2 linked regions of the Elephas maximus indicus genome follow. The protein of the gene in region 1 interacts with the protein of each later gene in a pairwise test. Links are inferred from orthologs where the notes say so. Each region holds a gene or a part of one and is shown in the gene's direction. Other genes may lie near its edges.

Evidence for each region.
Region 2: the proteins of LRRC7 (region 1) and NQO2 interact in a two-hybrid assay, tested with the Homo sapiens proteins (2 studies listed by BioGRID). The two-hybrid records come from large-scale screens. The link is inferred for Elephas maximus indicus from reciprocal best matches to the Homo sapiens genes LRRC7 and NQO2.

What each region holds. Positions count from the first base shown.
Region 1 is NC_064821.1:115,849,083-115,858,363, forward strand, and holds the start of LRRC7 (leucine-rich repeat-containing protein 7), read left to right. Parts: upstream 1-5,372; 5' UTR 5,373-5,729; coding exon 5,730-5,731; intron 5,732-9,281.
Region 2 is NC_064819.1:43,491,654-43,500,143, forward strand, and holds the start of NQO2 (ribosyldihydronicotinamide dehydrogenase [quinone]), read left to right. Parts: upstream 1-4,641; 5' UTR 4,642-4,785; intron 4,786-5,681; 5' UTR 5,682-5,897; intron 5,898-8,490. UniProt on the Homo sapiens protein: The enzyme apparently serves as a quinone reductase in connection with conjugation reactions of hydroquinones involved in detoxification pathways as well as in biosynthetic processes such as the vitamin K-dependent gamma-carboxylation of glutamate residues in prothrombin synthesis.

The sequences.
Region 1 (9,281 bases):
TAATAAATGTCATCTATAGAAAACCAACAGCCAAAATCATTCACAACAAAAAGAGGATGAAAACATTCCCCCTGAGAAAAGGAACAAGACAAGGATGTCCTTTATCACCACTCCTATTTAACAATGTGCTAGAGCACTAAAGCAAGAAAAAAATAAATAAATAAAGTGTATCTAAATCGGTAAGGAAGAAGTAGAACTATCCCTATTCATGGATGATATATTATTCATAAAAAACAAACAAAAAAAAATCTTTAACTACTGGAACTGATAGATTCAGCAGAGTAGCCGTATACAAGATAAACATACAAAAATCAGTTGGATTCCTATACACGAATAGAGAACTACAAAAAATCCATTAACGGGGAAAAGATAGTCTTTTAAACAAATGGTACCAGCAAAACTGGATGTCCATCCGCAAAAAAAAGAAACAGGACCCATACTTCACACCATACACAAAAACTAATTCAAATGTCTTAGCTATCTAGTGCTGCTATATCAGAAATACAAGTAGATGGTTTTAACAAAGAGAAATTTATTTCTTCACAGTAAAGTAGGCTAAAAGTCCAAATTCAGGGCATCAGCTCCAGGGGAAAGTTCTCCCTCTGTTGGCCTTCTCATCAATGTTCCCCCGGACTAGGAGCTCCTTCTTCACGCAGGGACGTTGGGTCCAAAGGACGAGCTCTGCTATTGGCGCTGCTTTCTTGGTGGCATGAGGTCCCCAACTCTCTGCTTGCTTCCCTTTCCTTTTATCTCTTAAGACCTAAAATGTGATGCAGGCCGCACCCCAGGGAAACTTTCCTTACCTTGGATCAGAGCAGTGACCTGAGTTAGGGTGGTGTTACAATCCTGTCAACATAAAATTACAATCACAAAATGGAGGACAACCACACAATACTGGGAATCATGGCATAACCAAGTTGATACACACATTTTTGGGGGGACATAATTCAATCCATGACACTAGATAACTGGAATCTTCTAAAAATTAAAACAATTACACTCATCGAAAGACTTCCAAAAGAGTAAAGCAGAATCCACTGACCGGGAAAAAATTTTTAGTTATCACATATCTGACAAAGGTCTAATCTCTAAAATCTACAGGAAAATTCAACACCTATAAAAATGGGCAAAGGATATGACAAGGCACTTCACCAAAGAAGATACTCAGGTGGCTAACAGACACGTGAGGAAATGCTTATGATCACTAGGCATTAGAAAAATGCAGCTAAAAGCTACAATGAGATACCATCTCACTCAGACATTACTGGCATGAATCAAAAATACAAAAAATAACAAATGTTGGAAAAGTGAGCAGATTGGAACTCCTATGCACTGCTGGTGGGAATGCAAAATGGTACAACCTTTTTGGAAAACAATGTGGCACTCCCTTAAAAGCTAGAAATAGAAATACCAAACAAACCAGCAATCTTACTCCTAGGAGTACATTCTAGAGAAATAAGAGGCATCGCAAAAATAGACATATGCACATTCATGTTCATTGCAACATTATTCACAACAACAAAAAGATGGAAACAACCTAAATGCCTATCAACAGATGAATGGATGAACAAACTATGGTACATACACACGTGGAATACTATGCAACAATAAAGAACAATGATGAATCTGTGAAGCATCTCACAACATGGATAAACATGAGGGTGTTATGCTGAGTGAAATAAGTCAAGCACAAAAGGAAAAATACTGTAAGACCACTATTATACAAACATATGAAAATGTTTCTACACAGAAAGAAACAATCTTTGATGGTTATAAGGGAAGGGTAGAATGGGGAAGGAAAAACACTAACTAGATAGTAGCCAGTGCCAGTGCCGCTGAGTCGATCCCGACTCATAGCGACCCTATAGGACAGAGTAGAACTGCCCCAGAGGGTTTCCAAGGAGCGCCTGGTGGATCTGACAACCCTTTGGTTCGCAGCCGTAGCACTTAAATAGATAGTAGATAAGTGGTAACTTTGATGAAGGATAAAACAGTACACAATACTGGGGAAGCCAGCACAATTTGACCAGGGCAAAGTTATAATTTTCACAGAGACATCTAAATGCTATGAGGGGCAGAGCTACTGGCCTGAGGACTGGGGACCGTGTTCCTAGGGAACATCTAGGTCAATTGGTATAACAGTCCATAAAGAAAATGTTCTACATCCTACTTTGATGAGTAGGTTCTGGGATCTTCAAAGCTTGCGAGTGGCCTTCTGAGATACATCTACTGTTCCTACCCTGGCTGGAGCAAAGGAGAATGAAGAAAACCAAAGACACAAGTGAAAGTTTGGTCCAAAGGACTAATGGACAACTCCACCAGACTGAGCTCAGATGGTGCCTGGCCAGTTACCACCACTTACTGCTCTGGCAGAGATCACTACAGAGGGTCCCAGAGCGGGAAAAAATGTAAAACAACATTCCAATTCACGCACACACACACACACACAAAGACCAGGCTAGCTAGTTTGATAGAGACTGCAGGAACCTGAGAGTAAGGTCCCTGGACACCCTTTTAACTCAGTACTGGTCACTCTAGAGGTTCACTGTTCAGCCAAAGATTAGACAGGTTTATAGGGCCAACAATAACACACATGAGGAATGTGTTTCCTATTACAATCATGTGTAGGAGACTAATGGACACACCAGCCAAAAAGCAAAGACGAGAAGGCAGGAAGGGGCAGGAAAACTGGAGGAATGGAAACAGGGAACCCTGGGTGGAGAAGGGGAGAGTATTGACATTATCAAGGGGCTAGCAACCAATTTTACATAACAGTTTGTGTATTAACTGTTTAATGAGAAGCTAATTTGCTCTGTAAAGTTTCACCTAACGCACAATTAATTAAAAAAAAAAAAACCTAAGAGTGAAAAATAGAGGTCAGCTGAGGTCAATTACAAATTTTGTCCTTTTAACATTTTTTAAAAAATTTTTCTAATCTCCCTGCCATTTCAGAACCCTTTCTCTGTGATGAGTTTCATAACACTTTTTAAAAATGATGTGACTTATGAAAACATCCTCTCACTCCTTTCCCTGTCTATATGTAAATTGTATGAAATACTGGGGAGTTATCTCGAAAAAACAGCCCATCTTCATGGCCCAGATAAAGTGAGAAAGAACCTTCCTCCTTGGTACTCTGCAGATTAGGTGCCAGTCTCAAAGTCTCTTCGTAGACCATCCCTGTTGTTGTTAGGTCCTATCAAGTCAGTTCCAATTCAGCAACCCTAAGTACAACAGAACAAACACTGTCTGGTCCTACACCATCCTCACAATATTTGCTACGTTTGAGCCCATTGTTGCAGCCACTGTGTCAGTCCATCTTGGCGAGGGCCTTTTTTGTTTGTTTTTTGCTGACCTTCCACCTTACCAAGCATGATGACATGAGAAGTTTCACTATCCTTGCTTCCAAGGAGCTTTCTGGCTGTGCTTCCTCCAAGACAGATTTGTTTGTTCTTCTGACAGTCCATGGTATATTCAATATTCTTCACCAAATTCATAATTCAAATGGGTCATTTCTTCTTTGGCCTTCTTTATTCATTGTCCAGCTTTCGTATGCATAGAAGGTGATTGAAAATATGATGGCTTAGGTCAGGCGCACCTTAGTCCTCAAAGTGACATCCTTAGTGACATCTTGGTTTTCCAAGTCTTTAAATAGGTCTTTTGCAGCAGATTTGCCTAGACCATCCCTAGCAGCCCGAAAAGATGATTTTTGACCTTGAAGCTGTTAGCATTTCAAATCTAAGAACAATAGCAATTAAAAAAAAATTCTTGTTTCAGTAAACCGTTACCTTAAATCCACTGAGAAGTGGCAATTGAAGGCCACGGTCTGACTCTTTTGGCAATTTAGAGAACTAAAAGGGAAAATTCCTTTCCTTAATGAAGAAACAAAAACCGTATAGCCTATACCATTCCCCCACCAAAAAAAAAAAAAAAAGGTTTCAGGATAATTCGTAAATCATAAATACATTTTAAAAATAAGTATTCATCTGATGTGTTTAAAAAATAAAGGAAACGTCTAAATATTGTACTAATTTCATAATTCTAGCTTCATCAATGTATTTTTTTTTTTAATCTGCTGCTTATGAGAGTTTAAAAGAGAAGTGTACGAGAAGGAAGTGTCTCTGTGTGTCTTTATGTGAGATAAAAACGAGTGTGTGTGAGTGTGAGACAGAGCGTGTTGCTGGCTGGAGGAGGGGCGGTGGATGAAGGAAAGTTGAGAAATCCCTTCTTTTCTTGCACAAAGCCAGGGTAGCAACCCCGCCTCAGAATGAGGAGAAGGGGACCTAGAGCAGGCATATGGGTCGCTGCCACGTCTGACGGGAAGCGACCCGACCTGCAACCACTGACTTTTCTCCTTGGTAGCCAACAACCTGCAGCAGGAAAGGCGGGCGGGGGAGGAAACCCCGAGGAGGCGCTCCTGGCCGCCTCTTTGCTGAGAAAGCAGAAGCAGCAGCCTGAGGAGCCACGAGCGCAGCGTCACCAAACTGGTGCCGGTGGAGGGGCGCGCAGGGAGGCGTAGAAGCCCGGAGCCGCTTCTGCCGGCGAGTCGCCTGCGCTGCAGGACTCTGCGCTGTCCCAGCGTCCCCGGCCCGTCCGGGAGCTGGAGGAGCCGGCGGCCGAGCGCTGCCGGGCGCCGTGCCTCGTGCCACCTGCCTCGCGCACCGCGGGAGACACGAGGAGCCCAGAGAGCTCGGCCTGGCGTTCCACTCTCAAGAAACAGCCTGTGTCGGAGCCAGGAGAAGGCGAGCATTTCAATTCTCGGCCGGATTGGGATTTTCTTGTCACAATTTAGGGGAGCAAGAGTAGAGGTCAGAGGGATAGGCCAAAATCGCAAAAACGGCCTGAGGGTTGTGGCCGTGGACCCCCCTTTTGTTGTCGGAAAATCTCCTTGACATTTTTTACACTTTGAAGCAGCTGCAGCTGGTGTCGTCGGAAAAGGGGGTGGGAAAGAAGAGGGGGCGGGGAGACACAGCGGAGAGCCACAAGCGGCGCCTCCTCGCCTGCCAATCCCGGCACCTGTGCGCCTAGCCTCTGCACCGAGGAGGCTCCCTCTCTGGGCGAACTCCGGGCGTAAAGCCACGGGCACCCAGCCCCGGACAGCAGGTTGTGACCGGCGGTACCTGCAGACTCCCACTCCGGCCACCGCCGCCGCCTGCAGCGGCGAGAGTGCACGAACCCTCTGAGCTGCCCGCTGCGTCCCGGCCCCCGGGGATCCTTGTCCGGTAGAGGTGCCGCAGCCGACAAAGGGGGTTACGGAGTTGGGTGCAAGATTCCCTTTTCCATTTCGTCTCTTCTCCGCCCAGGATTTATTGTCTGTGGAGCCTTCTGGGGGTGGGGAGGGAGCTGCGCCTCCGCCACCGCCGCCGCCGCGGCCGCCGCAGCCGCCGCTACCGCTGCGGTCGCCAGCGCGGCGCGCAGGGCTGGCGGAGGCTGGGGAGTGGACGCGCTCTTGCCTCCCCTACCCGCGCATCGGGCTTCCCCTCGGCTGCTTCCCGCGGGAAGCTCTCCAGCCGTCTACCTGAAGGGCACTGTCATCATGGTCTAACGTGGCTCCTGCCTGGAATCCCCTTTCTCCTCCTCTTCCTCCAGCTCCTCCTCCGCCGCTCTCTTCCTCCTCCGAGGACCCTCGCACCTTCTCCACTGCGGACCCCGGAACACTTTAAGGAATAACCCCTTGACAGCTGCACCAGTGACGCTCGCGGGAACCTCATGGGCAGTTTCTCCCGCCTGCGATGTGAGTAGAACACTCTTGCTTGGTGGCCGAGGGGGCTGCGGGTGCCTTGCCACCTCCAGCAGCGGCAACCGTGGGCGCGTGAGGTGTGGGACCCTAGCGGCCGGCCGGGGGCGGGGGTGGGAGAGCGAAAGCCTCCCGCGCTCGCTTCAGCTGCTCGTGCGGTTGCCGGCAGCGGTGGCGGTGATGTGGTAGGTTTCGGGGCATTTGGAATGGGTGCTAGCCGGGTGGGTGCATGGGAGCACCGAGTGGCCTGGGTTGCCAGGAGACTTTAAAGGGTTACATGCTGAGAAAGCGAAAGGTAAAGAACGAGTGTTGAACGCTGGTGCTGGACCGTTTGTCGAGCTGAGGTTAGGCTTTGCTTCTCTTTATTATCTTGGATATCTCCAGGTAGCTTCCCCCCCCCCCCCGACCCCCGGCCGTGTCTCAGGGATCAAGCGCTTGTTCGATCGCTCTACACACACACACACACACACACACACACACACACACACACACTTGTGGCTGGTCGCACTTGTCTTTTTATCTTGGAAGATGTTGTATTACTGCCTTCGTGTCTATTTGTTTGAAAAACACAATTAGAAGATTTTTATGTTATTGGGGACCAAAGAGAAAGGGTGGGGTTTCGGAAAGGGGGGACGGTGGAGCCCGAAAGACTGGTGGACGGAAAGAAGTGGGGGAACGGTGGAGCGAAAGCTTTCTCTGGAAGTCAGGAGAACGATGCCTCCCTCCCCCTCTCCAGAGAACTCATGCCTACACATCTCCTTTGTGTTGCACCGCGAAGCTGGTGAACCTGCTCTATTCCCCGTAGCAGCGCTGGGCCCCCTTCAGCATCGTGCATCCTCACCTCGGAGTTGTTAAGCATGCAGGACGTCTTTCCGGTCCTACGTGGAAAGAAGGAGGGAGGCACATTTAACATTACGGTAATCATGGCACCCTGGCTTATCGACAATTAGATTGGCTAGCGGAGGTTTCTAGTCTTTATGTTTGTAGAGTCAAGAAGTAGGATGGGGGTGGGAGCTGTATAGAATGCCTTTTCAAACAGTGTGACTTCATAATAACGGAAATGTCTACAAAATTGCTTCATTACACTACTTCTTGGCCATCAGGGCCGAATAAAGGACCCGCCTCCGCCCTCTCCTATCTCCTCCCTCGCTGTTTTCCTCCCCACCAATTCACAAAGCGAGCAGGCTGGCGAGAGGGCGCAGCGCAAGGCGGAGAAGGGAAGGGGTCACTTTCACAACTCCAGGGAATGGGTTTCAGAAAGGAACCATCTGCGACTCCCACGTTCATTTCAAAGTTCTCCTTCAAAAGGATTCAGAAAGGGGGGGAAGGGACCGGTGAGATACAGGGATCCTCCACCTGCTCTTTTCCGTTACTTTCCCAGCACCCTTTGAACACAACCAATTTACCTGCAGTGGTAACTGGGTCAGCACGTAAATATGTGTACCTGTGTACGCTGAGATGTAGCTCTCTTGATGGATGAAAAGCAATTTGTTTGTGAGCATATTTTAACCTGGGCAAAATTTCTAAGCACAATAGAGATTTTATAGCGTGGGCGAGAAGAGTGCATTCCAGCGAAAGCAGGACACGTGATCCCTCCAACCCGAGAGATACAGTATTAGGAACTCGATTTTCTTTGTTCCAGGCTGAGCCTATGAGATCCTCAGCCTCCAGGTTGCTCAAGTCCTCCTCCTGTAAGAGGAATAAATAATAAAGTTGGCTGGAGGAGAGAATAGAGGGAAGAAAAGCACAGGTAAAGGTAAAGCACCTGTAAAGGACTTGAAATCTGCTATTTCTCTTTCAAAGCCACCAATCTCTCCCGCCTCCACCCAAGCCCAGTCCCGGCCACCCCCCTACTTAAAATGAGGGGTTTCCTTTGGGATAGGCGGTAGAAAAGTTCTGCAATCCCTGAACACGTGGGTTCTCCAGAGCCTCAGAACCTGCTGTGATTCGCGACAGAATTCTGACACCTCCCCAGTCCAAGTGTCACGCCTCCATCCAGGTGTCCTTAAGCTGACTTCCTCGGACTCTACAGGATCCACCATGAGATGTTTTTGCAAAAGACAGCAGAGCAGAACATAGTCACTACCAGTTGGAAACCATTGATCTCACTCGGGAGAGAATAAGAAACTAGGGGTGTAAGAACGATTTTTATTTTTCCTTAAAAATAGAAGTCTTGAGACTAAAAGCTATGTTGAAAATGATGTTTAGCCATGTCCTGATGCCTGTGTTTGGACTCCTGGAGAGTTGGCTAGGCCTGTGAAATGTCATGAGGTCTAGTTATTTCACAATTAAGTGGAGGTAGAACTTGCATCCAGACTCAATGTGTAATTAAAGTTACCTGGCTTGGAGATTTTTTTGTTGTTGTTACTGTCTTTTTGTTGTTGTTGTTGTTCCATCTTTTATAAGTCATCTGAATGGGCTTAAGTTTTTAAATGTGGGCTATTTCTGTCCTTTGCTGCATTACATCATACTAATATGTTAAAATGTCAGGGAAAGCAGAGTCAATTTCCATGACATATTATGAGATGAGCATTCTTTATGTATTTTTTTTAACTTGGCTGTCCAAGAAAAGACGTGTACTTACCATGGCAACCCTTACATTCTGCATCACGTGTGCCTGCACATATGCAGTTTCAGAATTAGAAACAACTTCTCAAAGAAAAGCAAACCTGATCCAATTAAAGAAGTCACATTTTATTCAGAATTTTAGCACTGCTTTAGGCAGGCATTGAAATTTTCTTAAAGTCACATTCCACTTTTTAAAGCTTTTAATTTTCCTGTTTTCTTTATAAAATATAGATCATAAAGCATTTTTGGGTGCTTGTATTTTTGTTTGCTTTGGATTTTTAAAAAATCATGAGGATATGGGTTAATATCATGATGAAGTTTTACTCTTTCTGAAAGCCACTAAATAAATATATTAACCACATAATAATATGGGTGTTAATTCTCAGGGGGTATTTCGTAGCTTCCTCTTATTTTCGGTTCATAGTACATGGTAATTATTTGATCTAAAAACCCGTTCTCTGAATCATGACTTAAAATGCCCACTATTTAGAACATTTGAAATCTTGAAGATAAGTGATGTATCAAAATGATACCTATTGGTACTATAATTTTATTTTCTGGATGACTGTGACCCCAAAGAATGAATCATACATTGTACTATATGATTAACTTTATTCCACACCCTCCTTAACACAGGACACAAAGAGTACCAACTATTGATAATTATCACTGAATTATTTCACATCATCATTAGATTCTTAGTACAGTTTTTCCTTAATGAACCATTTTATATTTAAAATTCTTCACTTTGAGAATACATACTCTTTATTGAGTGTAAAGATTTTAACAACCACACCAATACCCCAACCCCATATGTGGAGCATTTCATTATCTCTGCTAATTGTTTTGTAGAGTATCATCCATTCTTTATTGGGTGAGTCTAGTCAGTCTACAGAATTTTCAAGATGACTTTGAAGAAACTGTTAGGTCAGATCTGTGGCACAGAATAAACCTTTAGTTTTTGCCAAGCCAGTGTACC
Region 2 (8,490 bases), on another chromosome or scaffold:
TGTTTTACTATCTCTTTAATGCTCGATAGATACTGAGAATCTTACATTTGTTCTTTGATTTTTTGGGGGGGTAGGCAATCATGTTATCTTCAAATAATTACAGCTTTCCTTTTTTTCTCTAATATTTTGTCACTTATGTCTTTGCTTGACATGTCACATGACTAGGACCTCTAATACAACGCTGAATATTAACAATGATATTTGATCCGTCCTATTCCTGGCTTAAAGGGAATACATTTAATGTTTCACTCTTAAGTGTGATGGTTGCAGTAGGTTTCACACTAAAACACTTTGTACAAATGTGAGCTAACAAAAGGGAGGCATTTAATGGAAGGATATCAGAAGTTCACAGAGTCAAAGGAAGCTCTGTTGCAAGCTCTATAGCTTTCAGCATCAGGATCCTGTGGATCTTCCAAATGCCTTCCTTATCCTTGGTCCTCTACTCAAGATTCAAATTCCTGAGAGAGAATCTAATGGGTTGGCCCAGATTACATGGCCACTGCCATGGTCAAAGGACAGCCTATCATCAAAACACTCTGCTATTCGAGCCGCCGTTCAAGGCACAACAATTCATCTCCATTCACCTGAAGCAACAGAGAAAGAAGTAGAGTCAGGAACCAGAGGAGGGGATTGAATGTGTGTCTCGGTGCCTCCATAAACAACTGCCTCCTTTCACATGAGACCAGAAGATCTGGGTGGTGCCTGGCTACCATTATGGAATATTTTGATCAAAGAGTCTGTGGAAGAATCCTGAGTAAAACGGGAGAAAATGTGGAGCAGACTTTCAAATTCTTAATGGAATCCAGAGTTTCTGGAGCCACTGAGGCTGGCTGAACCCCCAGAACTATTGCCCTGAGATAATACTCAAAATTTAAACCTTAAATCAAAACTATTCCCTAAAAACTTCTTTGAACCGAAAGAATAGTTTATCTGAATTAGGAAAGCACAGCTTTGAACATTATGCTCTTTTAAAGAATTATCTGTATGAGATCAAATTGGCAATGGCAACTTGAAAGGTTGGATGGGAAGCTTAGGGAGCAGTAAGTTTAAGATAATGGTGGGGGAATAATTTGGAAAAAGATAGCGAGAATGTTAGCACAACTTAAAAGAATGTTGTGTCACTGAACTGCACATGTAGAAATTGTTGAAACAGTGTATCTTTGGCTGTGCATACTTTCACCAAAATAAAGAAATTTAAAAAACAAAAAAGTCAAGAGGCCCTACTGGTTCAAGATACAAGCACCTTCTCAGTGCTGTGCCCTGGCATTATCCAATACTGTTTGTTGATTCCACCGGATCCACTTTACTAAAGTCTCATCTTTCTAGACTGATACCTATTCTTTGTCTTCCTCCTGGAAGAAAACTCCCCCTAATTGGTCAATTTAGCTAAAAAATATTTCCCTTCTGAATGCCCTGCCTAATTAAGACAAATTTAACTTGTTCCATAATTGCCTAGACTGGCAACTATCTCTCCTAAAACTCTCTTCTGTCTCATGGGTTAATGTTATTTAGTCCACCATGCATGCCGTTACCATTGTGTATTAATAACCTGAGTGTAGTTAGGATACATGTTTTATGCTCAAAAATGTTAAGTTCCCCATGAGGTTGCATGGGTTATAGACACATCTAGAGGTAATTTAGTCTGAGTTTGCCATAAGGCTTCCTGTGATGGTTAAAGCTAGGCCATGATTCTCAGTGGTTTGGAAAATATTATATAAATACCCTCTACTTTGTGATCTGATGTGAGCAGTCAATCAGTTGGATGGGGGGGGCTCCTTGTGGGTGTGGCCTACATCCAAAACATATGCATATTCCAGCAAAGCTTGCTCTCTCTGGACTCTGCATCCTACTCATCATCCTCTGATCAAGAGTTCCAGGAATGTGAGCCAGCACCTCCTATCTGACCTTCAGATTTTGAGATTCACAAGCTACTGCAGCCCTGTGAACCAGCAGCTTGCTGCCTAATCTGCAGATTTTGGGTTCGTCAGCTCCTGCAACCGTATGAGCCAGGAGAAACCTCCAGCCGGCTCCCTGACCCAAAGATTTGGGACTTGCTAGCCTCTAGAGTTGTGTGAGCCATTTCCTTGAAGAAAATCTCTTTCTATATATTTATACGAACACTTCACTGGTTTTGCTCCTCTAGAGAGCCATTTCCTTTCTCATTTCACACGTGGGGTTGATTCATGAGGAGATTTGAACATACCACGTTATGCCTCCTGCTTTATTCTTATTGAGAAACCCTTGTTCTTTTCCATTGTATTTAATAGCTTTCCACCCACAAAAAAAAAAAAAAAAAGGAATGATATGTATTTATATATAACACATTATGGTATGTCAGGCATGCATCTACTGTATTTTGTCCATTATAACCAGGGTTATAATGACACAGGGCTGACACAGTGCAAAAGGCAAGACGGAACGCAGGCAGTCCAGGGTCCCCTCTGTCCACACCTGTACCTCCTGCTTGCCACCACATGGAGATGCTGCTCACCATGGTCATGCTTGGCCTGAGTGCAGATGCCAGGCCTCAGAGGCAGCAGGGACTGCAGCAGCTCCTCCCCTGCCTTGGGATGGATGACAAGGCATCTCTGTACCAATGCCTCTGACTAGGATGGCTCCAGGGCTGGTCCCAGCACTTGCCACTCCACAGTTTCCCGGCCCTCTCCAGGGCACGCACACCACCCAGAGGCCTGGCCGATTTTCACACGAGATCTGAACACCCCTTGTCCTGGTCAGGGGGGCTTCCTGCCCACCTTGTGAGGTTCAGTGATTCCAGAGGGCCTGCACCTACGTTTCTTAGGATGATTCACTCACTTTCTGTAACACAAAGATGGTTCAAGGACTCCCCTTAAGTGATTCTGGCCAGAAAGGAGCCAAGGATTTGATCTCTGTGGAGACATTCTAGTTCTGGCAGAAGTGCCCTCAGCACCTTTCCCACCGTCCCAGGACCTCCTGGGTTGAGAAGACAAGGTGGCCCATTCCCAGCCTGGGAGCACAGGGGTTGCGGACAGCTCCCGGCGAGGCCACATTCCCACCTCTGAAAACAGCAACAGCAGACGGACAGACATGTGGACACTGCGCCCTGAGACAGGGAGAGGTCACACGTGTAACATATAGTCTAAAAGGGAGAGCTCCAGCAACCAATAGGGGCTACAAACTTCATCAGCACCACCATCGATGGACACAGAGAACATCTTCCTTCTGTTGCTGAAATCGGGCCATCGTAGAGCACCAGACATCAGGCATCCAGTTTGAGGAGGGGTCTTGGGGAAGCCACAAGGGCAAGTGGGCTTCCAGAAGACGTGGCACAGGCCAGAGGGTGCTGGAAAAGAGACAATTACCCCAAATGCCTTTGCAACCTGGGGCTTTTCCAAGAATTCAAGGGATGTCCTTGGCCTTTGTAATCCAGTGAGGGTGGATTCTGCCCAGTGCGGCCCATTGAGTCAATTGAGAGGCCCAGACCTTTGAGAAAGAGAAAGTGGACCTTATTGCACACCGGTCAAGCAAGGAGCTTGGAGACTAAGATTCAAATCAAGCTCACCAAAGCTGGGGATTCTAGGTCAGTTACAGGGTTTAGGATAGGGAATTTATGCTTAATTCACAAAGTTTCTGGGAATAAGCGGGCAATTTCGGGAGCTAATTAACATCCATGGGGTGCAGTGGGGGTGCATGTATGACGAGTGAAGTTTATCTAAGCACAGCTTTGCAGCTTATTGCTCCTGTCAGAATGGAGGGGGCGGGGGCAGTTGGTGAGTAGTGAAGCAGCCTTGAGCAAAGAAGCAGTAAGGCGACCTCGGGCTGTAACACGGAAATGCCTTCTCAGGAACTCAGAGAGCCTGGCTGTGATGGGGGGAGCTCGGGGGATAATTTAACCCTGTGGTTACCTTTCAGGAGTGGGGATAGTTTAAGCCTGTGCTTACACCTTGAACCACTTCCTGCTTGTCCTATTCTTCCTCCCTCTTCTTTTCCTTCCCCTTCTTCTTGGTAATTAAGCCTTTTTATTTTGAGTAATTGTAGGTTCATATTTTTTATGCAGTTCTAGGAAACAATATATAGAGATTCCGTGCACCCTTCACCCATTTTCCCCAATGATAACTTGCAAAAGTACAATAGAATATCATAGCCTGGGTACTGACGTTGTCACAGTCAAGCAGAGAAGGGCTCCATCACTGCAAGGATCCCTGTTGTTGCCCTTTTACAGGGGTGCTCACCTCTCTCCCTCACCCCAGGCAAGGACTAAGCCTTTAACTGTATATACTCTCTCTGGTCGTTTCGAGCTTGTTGTGTCAATGGGCTCACACAAGTACATAACCTGTGTCTTTTTTCCACTTATAATTCTCTGGAGATTCATGCAGGTTGTGCGTCCCATTTTATTGCTGAGTGGTTTCCATACACTTACATTCTGCTTGGGGGCGGGGTGGGCAGGGTTCAAAGCTCCCGGCGCCAGGGAGGGAGGGCAGCGTTCAAGGCTGTAGGCTCGGGGCGGGTCGAGGGCGCGGAGCCGGGCGAGGGCGCGGGGCGGGGCGGGGCGGGGCGCGGGGCGGGGCGGGGCGCGGGGCGTGGGGCGGGGCGGGGCGAGGGCGCGGGGCGGGGCGAGGGCGCGGGGCGGGGCGAGGGCGCGGGGCGGGGGCGAGGGCGAGGGCGAGGGCGCGGGGCGGCGGGTTGCGCAGCACCACCCCAGGAACGCGCAGCCTAGGGCGCTCCCGCCAGCGTGCGTCCAGGCTGTGCATTGACCCCTTGCGGCTCCCATTTTCACTTCCCGGCCGGCGGGTTCGCTTCCGTAGGGTGAGTTCTCCCCGCATCCGGGGGGAGGTTGGAGGGGACGGGGCTGGGCGCGGGGACTGAACGCACGGTCCCTGTGGTGCGTGCGGCACGGGACGTGGACCATTTGGAACATTCCGGTTCTTGGCTCTCTGCCCATCATCTGCCCCGACCCTGGGAAGTCGGGGCTGTAGTGTCCGCAGGTCACCAATGAGGAGACGGGGCAGCGCCGCGACATGGGTTGCCCGAGATCTTCTTGGGAATGGGGTGTCCCTGTCAGACCTGGGCGGACCCCCAGGGACTACGTCCTTCCTACACGTAGAACAGGCCGCCGTGGTTCAGACCAGTCTTCCTCAAGGTTTTGTGGCAATCTGTAACAAAACCTAAAAAATACCACCTCTAACCTTTAATCTCTCTGATATTAAATATTGATATTTCAGCTAAAGAAATCCAAGAAAGAGAAAACGTATTTAATAATTTGTGCTTCCACATACACCCGTTTCCGTCGAGTCGATTCTGACTTATAACCACCCCAAAGGACAGAGTAGAGCTGCCCCATAGGGTTTCCAGGGAGAGCCTGGTGGATTCGGACTACCGACCTTTTGGTGAGCAGCCGTGGCTCTTAACCTCTGCGCCACCGGGGTTTCCATATGCTTCCAGAAGTGCAATTTATAGTGTTTAAAAAATGGAAATCCCCTGCGTGTCCAGGAACAGGAAGGGAAAGGGCCCGCGGGCTTGCAAACAGCAGTGCATCCCGGGGAGCTATCCTGCCCTTAGAGCAATGAGCAGGGCGTCCCCTGGGAGGGGGCCTCAGCGCTGGAGGCTGAAAGGATGAACTAGCTATGCATCAGAAATATCAGCAGATTTGAGGTGGTAGATGTAGCTTAATAACTATGCGGTTTTTTTTTCTCCTATAACAGTGTCTAAGTGCCTTGTTTCTAGCAAAGGAGGAAAACTGTCAGCCTTGGAGAATGGCGCTAAGGGAGTCAGGACACCTGGGCTTGAGTCTTTTCTGATATTTTGGGTGTCTCACGTCCTGGACCTCAGTTTCTTACTCTGTGCAGCTAGAGGACTTGACCTAGATGGGTACTCCCCAACTGGAATGCCTCGTGCGGTCAGGCTGGTGATGTGGACATGTAAGCTGGGCTCGAGGGACCGTGGGGGCTGGGGGCGTGGGGAGGCTAAAGAATGCACGCCGTGCCTGAGGCATATGCACTGAAAGCATTTGGTCCAAACTAAGATGGTCTTGGGCCCTCACTTTAGGCCACAGGATAAGGTGCTCCCCAGTCTGCCCTGACACCAGTGCTCTTTTAAAGATAAACGGACCATGCCACTCCTCCTGAAGATGCCCCGATGGCTTTCTGGGAGGCTAGGATGAATCCCCTGCCCCTGACCTGCGAGCCCAGCTTAGTGGACCCCAGCTCCTCCCTGACTGCATCTCCCACCACCAAATTCCTTTTTTTAAAAAAATCACAGTCCAGCCATGCACTTGCTGTTTCTTGACCTCCCCAGGCCAGCTCCCACCTGAGGGCCCTCCCACTGCCTGGGCCTCTGTGCCCCCAGGTCTTTGGCCAGCTCCATATGGTCATTCACTTCCCTGCTCAGAGACACCTGGGGCAAGCCTACTACCATAGCAGTCCTAGCCCTGTGGTTTTATCCACCCACGCACTGTTTTCTTGATATTGCTCACCACCTTCCAAGATTCTGTGGTGGCTTTCATTGCCTGCTTGTTTATTGTTACAACCACGCTCCCCCAAGAGTATGGCGCTTCCCTCTTCTCTGTTACAGTCACTTCTGTCCTGTGCACTTGGTGCAGTACTAGCAGAAAGCTGCCAATCAGTAATTAGGAATTGAGTTTCTCTCACTACTAGTAATAGAGTCAACTCCACCAGGTGAAATAAAATGAGGGGCTTGATCTCATGTAAAAGAAATCTGGAGGCTGGCAATCCAGAATCATCTCACAGCTCTCAGAAGCCATCAGGAATCCAGGTGCCCACCATCCTTAGACCATAGCCTCTATCCTAGGACAACAAGATGTCTGGCTGGGCCTGGGTCACTGTTCCACACTCCATGGAAAAAGGAGAGTGGCAGGGGCCAGAACGGTACTCGCAGCTGAGCCCTGGTGAATGACTTCTGCTTACTCCTCATTGACCCCCCTATCTCAAGGGAAGCTGGGCACATTGACACCCTGAATGAATCAGGGTTCTGTTTATGTTGGGTAGCCAAGAGGTGGGTTGGCAGAGACTATGATCCAATCCCTAACTTCTCAGTCACTGTTGTTGTTAGGTGCCGTCGAGTCGGTTCCGACTCATAGCAGTCCTATGCACAATAGAACAAAACACTGCCCAGTCCTGAGCCATCCTCACAATCATTGTTATGCTTGAGCTCATTGTTGCAGCCACTGTGTCAATCCACCTCGTTGAGGGTCTTCCTCTTTTCTGCTGGCCCTCTATGCTGCCAAGCATGATGTCCTTCTCCAGGGACTGATCCCTCCTGACAACATGTCCAAAGTAGGTAAGACGCAGTCTCACCATCCTTGCTTCCAAGGAGCATTCTGGTTGTACTTCTTCTAAGACAGATTTGTTCATTCTTTTGGCAGTCCATGGTATATTCAATATTCTTCACCAATACCACAATTCAAAGACATTAATTCTTCTTTTGTCTTCCTTATTCATTGTCCAGCTTTCACATGCATATAATGCAATTGGAAACACCATGGCTTGGGTCAGGCGCACCTTAGTCTTCAATATGACATCTTTGCTCTTCAGCACTTCACAGAGGTCCTTTGCAGCAGATGTACCCAATGCAATGCATCTTTTGATTTCTTGACTGCTGCTTCCATGGCTGTTGATTGTGGATCCAAGTAAAATGAAATCCTTGACAACTTCAGTGTTTTCTCCGTTTATCATGATATTGCTCATTGGTCCAGTTGTGAGGATTTTTGTTTTCTTTATGTTGAGGTGCAATCCGTACTGAAGGCTGTGGTCTTTGATCTTCATTAGTAAGTGCTTCAAGTCCTCCTCACTTTCAGCAAGCAAGGTTGTGTCATCTGCATAACGCAGGTTGTTAATGAAGCTTCCTCCAATCCTGATGCCTCGTTCTTCTTCATATAGTCCAGCTTCTCAGATTATTTGCTCAGCATACAGATTCAATAGGTATGGTGAAAGAATACAACCCTGACACACACCTTTCCTGACTTTAAGCCAATCGGTATCCCCTCGTTCTGTCTGAACAGCTGCCTCTTGATCTATGTAAAGGTTCCTCATGAGCACAATTAAGTGTTCTGAAATTCCCATTCTTCGCAACGTTATCCGTAATTTGTTATGATCCACACAGTTCAATGCCTTTGCATAGTCAATACAACACAGGTAAACATCCTTCTGGTATTCTCTGCTTTCACCCAGGATCCATCTGACATCAGCAATGATATCCCTGGTTCCACGTCCTCTTCTGAAACCAGCCTGAATTTCTGGCAGCTGCCTGTCGATGTACTGCTGCAGCCGTTTTTGAATGATCTTCAGCGAAATTTTCCTTGTGTGTGATAATAATGATATTGTTCTATAATTTCCACATTCGGTTGGATCACCTTACTTGGGAATAGGCATAAATATGGATCTCTTCCAGTCAGTTGGCCAGGAAGCTGTCTTCCATATTTCTTAGCATAGACGAGTGAACATATCCAGCACTGCATCTGTTTGTTGAAATGTGTAAATTGATATTCCATCAATT